2 linked regions of the Rattus norvegicus genome follow. The protein of the gene in region 2 binds, or shares a complex with, the protein of the main gene of each other region. Links are inferred from orthologs where the notes say so. Each region holds a gene or a part of one and is shown on either strand. Other genes may lie near its edges.

The links.
Region 1: E2f4 (region 2) and Lin52 share a complex: the UniProt entries of both Homo sapiens proteins name them as parts of the DREAM complex. The link is inferred for Rattus norvegicus from reciprocal best matches to the Homo sapiens genes E2F4 and LIN52.

What each region holds. Positions count from the first base shown.
Region 1 is NC_086024.1:109,828,085-109,834,314, reverse strand, and holds the start of Lin52 (protein lin-52 homolog), read right to left. Parts: upstream 4,067-6,230; 5' UTR 4,060-4,066; coding exon of another isoform or gene 4,048-4,059; coding exon 4,029-4,047; intron 1-4,028. Other genes in the region: Aldh6a1 (methylmalonate-semialdehyde/malonate-semialdehyde dehydrogenase [acylating], mitochondrial precursor), read left to right, coding at 4,634-4,684.
Region 2 is NC_086037.1:50,082,259-50,088,427, reverse strand, and holds the start of E2f4 (transcription factor E2F4), read right to left. Parts: upstream 4,094-6,169; 5' UTR 4,008-4,093; coding exon 3,873-4,007; intron 3,471-3,872; coding exon 3,361-3,470; intron 3,236-3,360; coding exon 3,074-3,235; intron 2,784-3,073; coding exon 2,740-2,783; intron 1,914-2,739; coding exon 1,852-1,913; intron 1,654-1,851; coding exon 1,356-1,653; intron 739-1,355; coding exon 520-738; intron 1-519. UniProt on the Homo sapiens protein: Transcription activator that binds DNA cooperatively with DP proteins through the E2 recognition site, 5'-TTTC[CG]CGC-3' found in the promoter region of a number of genes whose products are involved in cell cycle regulation or in DNA replication.

The sequences.
Region 1 (6,230 bases), on a different chromosome or scaffold from region 2:
ACTTGTCTCCAGTTACAGTCAGCTAAGTGTCACTGCTCTCACCAAAGATAATCTCTACTAAGACTCTACACCATGGTCTCCAGCTTTGACAAGCACCTCACACAGTCTTCTTGTACCGACAGTTTCTATCTTAGGCTTACAGTCAACAAGCAAGCCTCATCTAGAATTTATCTACTTTTTGACTGATAAAAAGGACACTTCACTGGGTGGTGGTGGTGAATCCCTTTAATCCCAGCACTCAGGCCAGCCTGTATATATAGTGAGGTCCAGCCGGGGCTACATAGTGAAACCCTGCCTCATAAAATAAGTAAACAAATGAGAGGGAGGGAGGGAGGGAATGAGGGAAGGAGGGGGGGGGAGAGAGAGGGTGAGAGAGACAGACAGACAGACAGAGACAGAGAGAGAGACAGAGACAGAGAGACAGACACTGAGACTACACTTATTATTAACTGAGTCTCCATATGTTATACACACACATGCATGCTGAGTGCAGACACACACAGAAACATGCAAACTCTCCCTTTAAACTCATAACTTCCCTCCTGGGTATCCTGTAGTCCTTATTCTCCCACTTCACACTTGTGTACATGTGCATGTGTGTGTGGTATATGGATATAATGAATGCACAAGTAGGTGTATGACTATAAAGGACCAGAAAGAATGCTAAGTGTCTTCATTTACTCTCAGGCTTATTGTCTTGAGACAGAGTTGCTCACTAAACCAGAAACTAGGTAGCCAGCAAGCTCTCAGGATCCAGCTGTTTCTGTGCATGCCCTCCCTGCCCACAATGCTGGCAGTACAACCATGCCTGGCTTCCAACTCAGGTCCTCATATTTGCAAAGCTAGCATGCTTACCAACTATGTATCATCTCCCAGGCCCTACACTCTCTAACCTACAAAAAAAAAAAAAAAATCTTAATTCAGTCCCTACGTGCATTGAAACTACTGCTATCAAGGTCACCTGTGCTAAATCTGCCCACTTGTTTCCCTTCTGTGACCTCTCCATAGCATGTGATATTCCCCTTCTTGCTTTTATGAAACTACTACACTCGTTTCTTCTCAGTGACTCCTCTTGCAGTCTGTGCCACTCAGATCTAAGACAACTTCACCATCATGTACCAATGACAATTCACATCTCAAGGCTCAACCATTCTCCTGTCCAAGGAGCTACTTGATGTCTGTCCATTTACATGTAGGGAAAACCCCTTAATACTGCTGTTCAAACCCCACTTTCCCAACCCTCTCCATCTCAAGAAATTGCAATGTCACAAACCTCAGTTCTTTGAATTGTTTACTTTTCGTTAGTTTAGATTTGTGTAGGGTCTAGCATTCCATAAATTCTGCATCCACTGGCATTTACACAATGGCTGCCACCATTTCTACAGGCCCCACTTACTTCTCCCCAGATTACTCTGCTTGTTTAGTTTTGCCTCTGGGAGTCACTGTGTGAACTTTTTATACACATAAGCACATCTCCTGCCTTAGTCGAATTTAGTATCATCTCAGATAAAACCACCCTGGATTTGAAGAAGAGCTATATGCTCTCTTTGATTCTAGAGACCTCACACATCTAGCAAAACTGGCCTTGCACCACATCCTTCCAGACCCTACCTTTTAGAAGTCTTGTTCTCAGTAGACCTCCACAGACACCAAGATGAACCTCAATTTAAAAAAAACAAAACAAAACAAAACAAAAAAAACCGACAAAAATCCTACCAACACTTTTTTTTTTGCTAGTAAGAAAAGGATGTTTTAGGGGGAAAAAAAAAATCACACATGCTAGAGAATCTCTTTTATTATGAACACAGTTCCTTAAGGTATGTGAATGTGTTCAAAACTTAAAATGCAGTTAAACCTGAAACTTCGAAATCAAGTAAGAGGCCAGGCATAGTGGTACATTTTTTTTTCTTTTTTTTCTTTTTTTCAGAGCTGGGGACCGAACCCAGGGCCTTGCGCTTGCTAGGCAAGTGCCCTACCGAGTGGTACACTTTTAATCCCAGCATACTGGAAGCACAGGTAGGAAAGCAAGAAGATGGTGAGTCTGAAGCCAATCTGGGCCATACAGTCAGACCCTATCTCAAAAAAGGAAAGAAGGAAGAAAGGAGGGAGATCTGGTAACATTATTTTTAATATAATCTAGTCATGCTTTTTAGTACTAAAGACTGAACCTATTGCCTTGTTCATGATAAGCAAGCTCTCTACCACTGAACTACATCCCTACTTTTTATTTTTCATTTTTAGATTTATTTATGTGTATGACTGTTTGTCTGCACAGTATATATGTGGAGCACATGCATACCTGATGTCCATGGAGGTCAGAGTCACAGTTGTGAGTTGCCATGTAGATACTGGGAATAGAATCCAGGTCTTGGGGCTAGAGAGATATAGCTCAGTGGTTTAGAGCACTGGCTGCTCTTCCAGAGGTCCTGAGTTCAATTCCCAGCAACTACATGGTGGCTCACAACCATCTGTAATGGGAGCCCTCTTCTGGTGTGTCTGAGGACAGCTACGGTGTATAAAGTACTCATATACATTAGATAAATAAACCTTAAAAAAAAAAAAAAGAATCCAGGTCTTTTGCAAAAGCACCAGGTACTCTTAACCACTGAGAGCTATCTCTCCAGCCCCCTGTATCCTCACATTTTTAAAAAGATTTATTACCTATACACTGTTCTGCCTGCATGTACCCCCGCACACCAGAAGAGGGCACCAGATTTCATTACAGATGGTTGGGAGCCACCATGTGGTTACTGGAAATTGAACTCAGGACCTCTGAAAGAGCAGTCAGTGCTCTTAACCGCTGAGCCATCTCTCCAGCCACTCTTCCCTTACTTTTTAAAAGAAAACTTTTTATTTGAAGGTGGGTGGTGGTGGTTTGTGCCTTTAACTCTAGCATTTGGGAGGCAGAGATAGGAGGAGCTCTGAGTTCGAGGCCAGCTTTGTATAAAGAGCAAGTGCCAGGACTACACAGAGAAACCTTGTCTAGGGTTAAAAAATAAAATAAAACAAAACCCAACAACTGCCAACTAAACCCCAACTTTGTATTTGAGACACATTTTGCCTACAATTCATTCTGCAGCCTAGACAAGCCTGAAGCAACAATCCTCCTGCCTCAATCTACCAAGTAGCTAAAATTAGGGGTCACATACCAAGGCCAGTTTCACTTTTGGATGAACGTTAACTTATTTATGGCCAAATGCTTTACAGGCATTATTCTAGAACCTAGGATTAAACGTATGAAATAAGACAGACTTGGAATTTATAATTGGGTGTGGCCCGGGCAAAGTTAATAGACAAGGAATATACTGAGATACTGAGTAATGACAGAAGAGAATTCCAAATGCTAAAGCAGAACCGCGAGCAAAAGCATACGGGTATAACGAAAACACCTATTTACCACCTGAGACGAAATACAAGCAGAATTGTTCCTGCCCTCAGTCTAAGGAAACAACACATGAAGTAGAGGGAGTGATGGTTTAAGGGTTGAGAAGCGTGCGAAACTACATTAACAAGGCTAATTTTCATTCCCTCGGGAATCAGGGTAAGGAAACCAGGTCCCCGGTTCCCTGCTGCCAAGGCAACGGTCCTGAACTGAGGGGACAAGCATCCTTCTCTCCCGGCTTGGTACAGGGATGAACCCTAGACCTCATGTCAGTCACCACTCAAAGCTATAGAGCTTGAGAGACTCGTCTCAGCTCTACTGAGAACAGAACCAACACTCCAATGGGCCTGTTCAAAAAGAAAGTTCCCTCCCTTTCCCCTCAGCATCACCGATGGGCCGGAGCGACCTCTGTCCTTTTCCCGGATAGGGTCTCACCGGTTGGTGGCCTCCTTCACCTACCTAGTACACAGCGGGGAGACCTGGTACCAGGCACCTGCTAGCTGAAAAGCCGACACAGCCCAAAGAAGAGAAGTGGGAGAGAAGGAAGAGGGGCCCAAGAAAAAAAGCGTAAGCGTGAAGGCTGTGGAAGTTCCCAGAGGAGCAAATAATGAGACTACAGGCCAACAATTTCCAAGCCGGCTCTTACCGTCTGTGGGAGACGCCATCTTCCAGCCCATGTCACGTGACGTGGCCAACCGTCGGCGGGAAAGCGAGGATCCGCAAGCCACGCCCCTTACAGGGGTAACCTATCCTTAACTCACAGCCCGGTCTCGTTTCCCTATCTCATAGGGTAATATTTGCCTAGTCCCACCCTAGACAGCAGCCCTACCCGCGAGTGGTAGTTAAGGTGAAACTCAGGCAAAATTCTTCAAGGACTTTATTTACTTTCCTTAGCAAAGGGGCGGGACCTTGAGGGCCTACCTATAGCCAATCGGAGTTCTCGGTTAGGGGGCGTCTTCCCCGTGTGCTTAATATGCAGTACCAAGTCTAGGGGGCGTCTCCCTATCTCCGCCAACAAAAATAGGCTGAAGTCAGAGAAGAGGAAAACGCTTCCGCCTTTGACCAATCACCTATCCCCAAGGCTGGGAGTGATGGGTGGAGTCAAGAATCCTGACACATGATTGGTTATGAAAAGTGCCCCTTCCCTCCAATGGAGAGGCTAGGTTGTGTTCGGGGCGTAGCTTAGCGCTGTAGCTTCTAGGGAGGCACTGGCAGCGGAGGCGCGGGGAGCTGGGCAGAGTCTGGTGAGCCATGGCGGCGGCAGTGGCGGCAGCAGCAGCAGTGCGGTCCCGGATCCTGCAGGCGAGTGAGGGTGGCGACGAGGGACCATGACGTTAGAAATGGGTCCTTTCCGCCCGGTCTCTAAACCATGCTTCTGCTGGACAGATTTCTTGGCCCAGACCCTTCTTTGCAGACCCTTGTGTTCCACCAGACCCGTGTGTTTGAGCTGTCACTCCGTATTGCCTGGCCCGGGAATCCAGCCCCGGACGGTCACGCCTGGCCCACCCCACTTTTACTCCTGATCCTTTCCTTTTCTAGCTCTGACCCACCCACCTTCAGTCCAGCTCAGTCTTTGCTATCACCCGCGGGCTTGCTTTCTCTCATTGGTTCCTCCCACGGACTCCCTTTCACCTCTGTGCCAGCCACCTCTGGGCCCCAGAAACTCCTTTTGGTTACTGTTTATAGAATACTTTCCTTTGCCAGGAGCGTCCCTTCCCCCATCCAGCCTCTATGTGAGGTAAGAGGGGGTAGGAACATGGAACAAGGGTCAGAGAAGAAACTTTGAATCTCTAGACATGTACCCTGGCTTTTCACATCAAAGGCAGCCATTTGCTAGCGTTTACCAACTATTCTGGCCCTTAGTGTTTTTTTCCCAAGCTCTGGGCCAAGTTAAACTTTCTCAGCGAAGTTAAACTTTCGAGATAAATAAGGGCGTTATTGTTTTGCTAACGCTACTAAACATTCCCCAAACAGGTGGTAGAAGATGAGACCCTAGGAAGACACGTTCCCAGAGTCAGTTCTCAAGTGCCAACACACCCTCCACTCTTCTAGGCTACGATTTTAACCGCACAGAAAGAAGCCAGCCCAAGGGAAGTTGTAGAGCTACAGAAGCCTCAGGCCTGTGGTCCCGGCTTTGATTATAGCCTTTCCCATGTGTTTGCATCGTAGCACGGACTTAGAATCTGACACAAGATTTGCTCTATTCCCGGCAAGATTCTTAATCCAGCATTAAGCAACGATGTCTTTTATTCATCCAGCCTAGGAATGTCTCCTGTTGCACTTTTATATAAAATTTTATGTCTGTTCATCAGGTTTTTAGGAGTTCTACTGCAGAAATGTGTGCGTGCATTTGGTTCTTGGCCGAGTCACCAAAGGTTCAGGTTTGAATGTTGTTTAATGGGACCATGAAGAGAGTGAGCTGGAGGTCTTAGAAGGTTGGCATGACTTCACTCCCCTGGCGCTATTCTGGTGTCTTTTTGGAGTAACAGATACAGCATTTCCTCTCTACGTTTTCCATTGCCAACCTCTTAACATCCTTTATAAAAATTGCTCCCCTCTCGTCCTTACCCCATTACCACAAGTCACTAAAAATCCTAAGGTATTTTGTCCTTTGCACAAAGGAGTAGAATTTCTCTTCCCATATATGTTATTTTTGGAACAAATACTCTTAAAAAAAAACCCAAGTTGTAAAAACCTCTAAACTGACTTGGAAAAAGACCAGAAATAGTTCTTAGACAATTAGGAGTTATTGTAATATGACAATTTGATAAAGGGTAGTCTATGTGGTCATGTGGTACATGTATGCAGGCCTAGCTCTTGGAGAAACAGAGGCAGGAAAATCTCTTGA
Region 2 (6,169 bases):
AATCAGCTCCCTAGAGCTGAGGCCCACCCCAGATATAAAATGGTAAGTACCAATGTTTAAGGAAGTATCAGATGCCAGTGAGGCAGAAAAGCCAAGAGCTGACAGTGAAGACAGAGGAAAGAGCATCAGAAGAGACCAAGAAAGCACCAGGCCTAGACTCTTAGAAACCTGCTGGGCCAGGTACTACACCAAGAACAGCACAGCTACAGCCCTGTGGTGGAGGATTAGCTGACAGACACGGGTGACCAAGGATTACTTTTTAAAGGCATTCATACGTAGAAAGGAAAACAGAATGGTGAGGTGAGTACGAAGAGCAGCAAATCTCAATTAGTGAGGCTTAGTGATGCTCCAAGTGGTGGCAGGAGGGGGGATGAAGTCCCAGAAACGGGCAAGAGGCACAGGCACTGACCTGGAGATTAGGCATCCTTGTCTGGCTGGCAGAGAGCAGAGGTTAGCAGGAAAGGAACTGCCAGCTCCAAGACTCTCCTTGCTGGCCCCCACCCCTCAGTAAGTACTCACCGCCTGTGGGGTCTGCCTTGATGGGCTCAAAGGAGGTAGAAGGGTTGGGTCCAGATGAACTGCTGCTGCTGCTGCTGCTGCTGCTACTGCTGCTGCTGCTGCTGCTACTATCCAGTAGTGCAGAGGACTGCAGAGGTCGAGTGTCCAGTGCTGTCAGGCCCAGTGGGAGTGAACTGAGTTCACCACTGCCCTTGTTCTCAGTTCCAGGGCTACCACTCACTGCAACCACATCCCCAAACCCAAACACAGAGTCAGGAAATAGACCCTACACCTGCCATAGGCTAGATCCTATGACCAGGATGACCACAGTGCTGGTAGCCAAATCCAAGGAGACTTAGTCACCACTAGTTACCAAGAAGCACTAGAAAACATCATTAAAGATAGAGCACATGTCCTGGAGGAGGGAGACTCATGGGGTTGCCAGGATCCATCAGACACTGTCCAATCTGGGATAAACTACCCTACTAATGCTGCCTATATAGTCAAAGCTTCCTTGTTAGAAAGGGCATATTCAGGCAAGTGAGATCCTCGTGAATTAAGACACTCATGGACAAACCTGACCTGAGTTCAAATCCCAGAAATATGAAAGGAGAGAACCAATTCTTTCAAGTTGTCATCTGATCACCTCTGACCTCTACATGCATCCTGTAGCATGTGTCCCCCTCACAAATAAATGAACAGAGTAATTTAAAGGGGCACATTCATTGTAACTCCAAGGAAAGCTAAGTGGGGACCCCAGGAACTTCTAATTCTCAGTATAGCATGCCATGACACAGTTTCTTGTAGGCTCCAAAAAATAAAAAAATAATCCATCACACCTTACCATAGTGTCTCACCTGCAATCTCAGCTGTCTGGCCTGCCACATCTGAGACTTCAGTGCTGCCAAGGACAGGAGTGGGGGTAGTTATCTGGGGGCTGCTTGGACGAGAGGTTTCTTGGGGATGAGCTAAGGCAGGCTTGGGCAGAGGTGGAGGTGTAGACACAGCAGGTGGGCTCTGGAGTAGATCGTCAGGGGGAGGTACGGGCACAGCCACAGGTGGTGAACTCCAGGCCTCCTTGTTCACTAGCAGGACCTCAATGGGACCACTCATGCTCTTTAAGTGAATCTGGTACTTCTTCTGACCATTGAGACCCTGGGAACAAACAGAATTGCAAGCAGGCGTAGCTCCTGCCTGACTGGCTCAGAGCCACACTGTCCTCTCCTCATCTGCCAATCCACCTAGATAACCCTAAACTCCAGGCCTCCCCTACCTGCCCCACCCAGAACTTATCAAGCTTCACAGCCAGTATCCACCCTCAGTTGACACTGCCTTGCAGGGATGAGCACCTACCTCTGGGATGGGCACCTCCAGGCTGGTGCCCGATGGGGCTCGGATAGCAAGGAGGGTATCTCCTAGAATAACAAGGAGAATGTGTCAGGGCCCATGAGCTCATTCAAGTATCTGTTCTTTTCCTGCCTTGTCTGGAGAAAGACAAGTGACCAGAGTCTCTAAGAGACTGAATATTAAGCCTCTACCATCCTAAAGCACTGGGTAAATTCTCTCCTCAAAACCTCATACTCAGTAACCAGAAAACCTCGATGCAAGCACACTTCTTTCTTTCTCCTTTTTGAGGCAGGGTATTTTTATGTAGCCTTGGCTGTCCTGGAACTTGCAAAGTAGACCAGGTTAACCTCAAACTCAAAGATCTGCCCTCCTTTGCCTCCCAAGTGCTGGGATTAAGTATACTTATATTCTGGAATGAGGTCACCAGCCACAGGTACCACCACCTCACTCCTCAAATGATGCTGATTCCTAGAAACAGATGTTCTGACCAAGTTTTTCCAAGACACAAGGAATATCTAATAAATGGTTCCTATATGCACAATGGAACTAAGTACAAATTATAAACGGACACCACCGACCCCTGCATACAAGTATGTAAGATTGTGCACACAAATCTACATGTACAAATTCTCTTTTCCTCTGTGCCACCATTATGCACAAGAACCAAACCCAGAGAACATTGCTGATGAGGGCAAACCTAGGGGACTCTTGTACCCTATGGGTCTCTAAAGAGTCCCAGTGACTTCCAAACTGAGACTTGCTGCCTGGCTTCGGAGTCGGAACTCTGAACCTTCAAGAGTCGGAACTTCTTTTTTGGGCAGTGGACCTAACACTGGGAGCTCCATGGCTTCACTCAGTCCCATCCCTGCCTCCCTCTAACCAGGCTCTGCTCACCAGCAAAGCACCTGCAGATGTCTTCATGAGTCACGTAGGCCAAGGTGTGGGGGTTAAGGAGAACAGCTGATGCCTTTACCACGCCAGATCACAGAAGAGACCCAATGCCTATGCCTATGCCTGCCACACAGCCCTCAGAGGAAATTCTGGAACCTGGGGTCCAAGTGGGTAAGGATCATGGGCTAAGACTGGAAGAGACCAGAGCCTCATGTCTGAATCTGACCAGGGGTTGCAGGCTCATTCTTTCAAGAGGTAAAGGGCCCAGAGCTCTACAGAGCAAAAGCAGCTGAGAGCCCCTTGCCCACTCTCCAGGGCAGGGTCTGCCAGAGGATATCAGCTGTTCTGGACGTCCTCTGCGACATTCCGGATGCTCTGCTGCACCCACACCTTGTGCTGGTCAAGTTCTTGCTCCCGCTGCTGTAGCTCCTCGATCTCTGCCTTGAGCTCAATCAGTTTGTCGGCAATCTCCCGGGTATTGCAACCTGGCCCGACGCCCCTGAACCACAGGAGTGAGAGACTGAGTGGGATCCTTAAGAACTCTGGGTCCCTGCCCTCTTCTCTCTCCGATGACCATCATCCCACACCCCTGACACTTCTGCCCTCCCAAACATCCCTACTCACTTCCACTGGATGCTGTTCTTGGATTTTTTCTCGATCAGACCAATACCTTCCAACACGTTGGTGATGTCGTAAATCCGCCGTTTCTGGCGTACAGCAAGAGTGTCGGCTGCCTGGCAGGTAGAAGAGAATGGAGAATGCTAGCCCCACTCCTAAGTGTGCACCCTGATTCATTTAGTTTGGAATGGGGGTAGTCTTGTTTCCCAACCCTGGAGTTCCTTCCAATTACTCCAGGAGTGTGTTGGGAAGTCTTGGGAAGAGTTGTGTTCTGATATTCTGATGCTCGTTTCCCTGTACTAGTCACGAAGGGCCACGAGGGCCAGCACCTGCAACCCGGACCTAGACAGAGATGAGGCTCAATGGCTTCAGTGAATGAAAATAACCTCCCGCCTCTCTCGTGTGAGAAAGCACACTGATGGCGGCCAGAGGACTCAGTGGGGCCGCCCCGCTGGTTCCCGCTACTGGTCCAGGCCTGGTCCACCATCTCCCCAGTCGCCCCTCCGCCCGGTCCGCACCAACTTGAGGTCAAGCACGCCGTCCTTGGCTTCCTGCAGAAGCGACACGAACTTGGTGGTGAGAAGTCCCAGACTCTTCTCGTGCCGGCTTGGAGTACCCGGGGGCGGCGGCGCCTGTGGCCCGGCCTCCGCCATCGCGCCTGCCCGCCCGCCAGCCTCCCCTCAGCCAGGCCAGGCCAGGCCGGCGGCGGCACCACTTCCGCTTCCGTTCCTAGTCGCCGGGCCACCGGAGCTATCATTGCTGCTTCCGCTTCCGTCTCGCGCCTTCCCAGGGTATCTGGTGCAATTCCTATCTGTAGATCTTGACGCAAAATTTTGGGGACCATTGACAAATGTACCATTTGCAAAGGAAACGAAAACAACTCCTCAGGACAGCTAAGAAACCTGAAAAATTGTATCGTAGGAAATGGAGGAGGTTAGTGAGCAGTAATGAAGAGGGACCACCCGAATATTCCTTGCTAACTTGCTCCCAAACTACTAACTGCCTGAACACTCCATCTAGCAAAGGGAAGCCATAAGCCACAAGCTTATCCTATTTACTTAAAACTGATCCTAAAGGCTTCTCTGCTGTTCTGAGATAATTCCTGTTGTTCCTGTCAGAACTGCAAGCACTAACAATAAATAGCTTGCTTCGGACTTCTACTATCTACTCTTATTTAGTTCCAGCATTATTTTTCTCTGGCCTCCATGCTACATACAGTTCACAGTGACCTGGAGTCTTGTTTCCAACCACTACTTAGTCCGTGCAAAGGTACTTGCCTGTGTGTGAATATGAGCAAAGCCTTTAAGGCAAGTTTCTGACATATGGGAAGAACTGTATGTTTGCAAGTCTCATTTATCTTTCGATTTTTAAAGGTTTTTATTTTTAATCATTATTTTGATGATGGTGATGGTGGTGGTGGTGGTGGTGGTGGTGGTGGTGGTGGTGGTGGTGGTGATGATGGTGTGTGTATGTGTATGTTTGGGCGCATGTGCACAGGTGCTCAGGTGCTCAGGGAGGGTTAGAAGAGGGTGTCAGATATTTGGGAGCTGGAACTAACAGGCATTTATTAGCTACCAGGTAGGTGCTAGAAATCAAAGTCCTGCAAGAGGAGCAAGTGCTCTTGATCTCTGAGCCATCTTGCCACTTGGCAAGTCTTACTTATTTTTAACATTATCACTTATGGTTATGTCTTTATGGTGGTCAGTTCCTCTTGGACACAAATTCACACTCGTAAGAGAGTAAAACAGGCAGAATTCAGAAGATCTAGTTATAATGGGGCCTGAAATTGGGGTAGTCTTCCTGAGGTATTCATGCTCAGCAAGGATACTTATAGAGGCCTTTGGATATCAATACTGACTCAGAACTTTAGCTTTTCTGGCAGCTTGGAAATGAGGGTCTATTCTGATGGGTAGATTTGGATGGTGCAACATTATCATCGTCTAGTGTCATCTGTGGCTCCCTATCACTTACAGGAACAATATAACCTTTTTTTTTAAGATTTATTTATTATATAGACTGTATTTTTTTTTTTTTTTGGTTCTTTTTTTCGGAGCTGGGGACCGAACCCAGGGCCTTGCGCTTCCTAGGTAAGCGCTCTACCACTGAGCTAAATCCCCAGCCCCCACTGTAGCTGTCTTTACACACACCAGAAGAGGGCATCAGATCTCATTACAGATGGTTGTGAGCCACCATGTGGTTGCTGGGATTTGAACTCAGGACCTCTGGAAGAACAGTCAGTGCTCTTAACCACTGAGCCATCTCTCCAGCCCACAATATAACCTTTACAATCCCTGACTGCCATCTCCCACTATACGTTCACCTCACTACAGGTGATCTTTCCTCTACCAAGGCATATCACTCATCAGTGGTTCTCATACTCTCAAGTTCTTTGCAGCTACTCCAACACTTGGGGGTCATCCTTCAAACCAGCTTGAGGCTAAGTCAGCTTTATGTGTGCATATGTGTTTCCTGAGCACTTAGAAGTCAAGGTATGCTGGTCAAGACTTGGTGATCACGGGGAGTCCACGGCTGCCCCCACCCAACAGGAAGTAGCGCCCAGCTCTCCCCACCTCAGTGCAGTTGCTTTTCCTGTTGGGAATAAAGTGCCAGAGACTCAACTTCCTTCCTTTCTGCTTTGAAGAGGGAGGGGCCTTGAGGGGAAGAAGGGGCTTCTGGGCTGTGAAGTGGGAAAGAGGTTTCCTTGGGGAGAGGAATTTGGCTGGTGGTGCCAAAGGAGCTAGAGTCCCTCAGGTCCCGTGAGCAGTGAGGGTGTGCCCAGTTCTGCAGGAGAGAGAAGGCTATTCTCAAGGCCAAG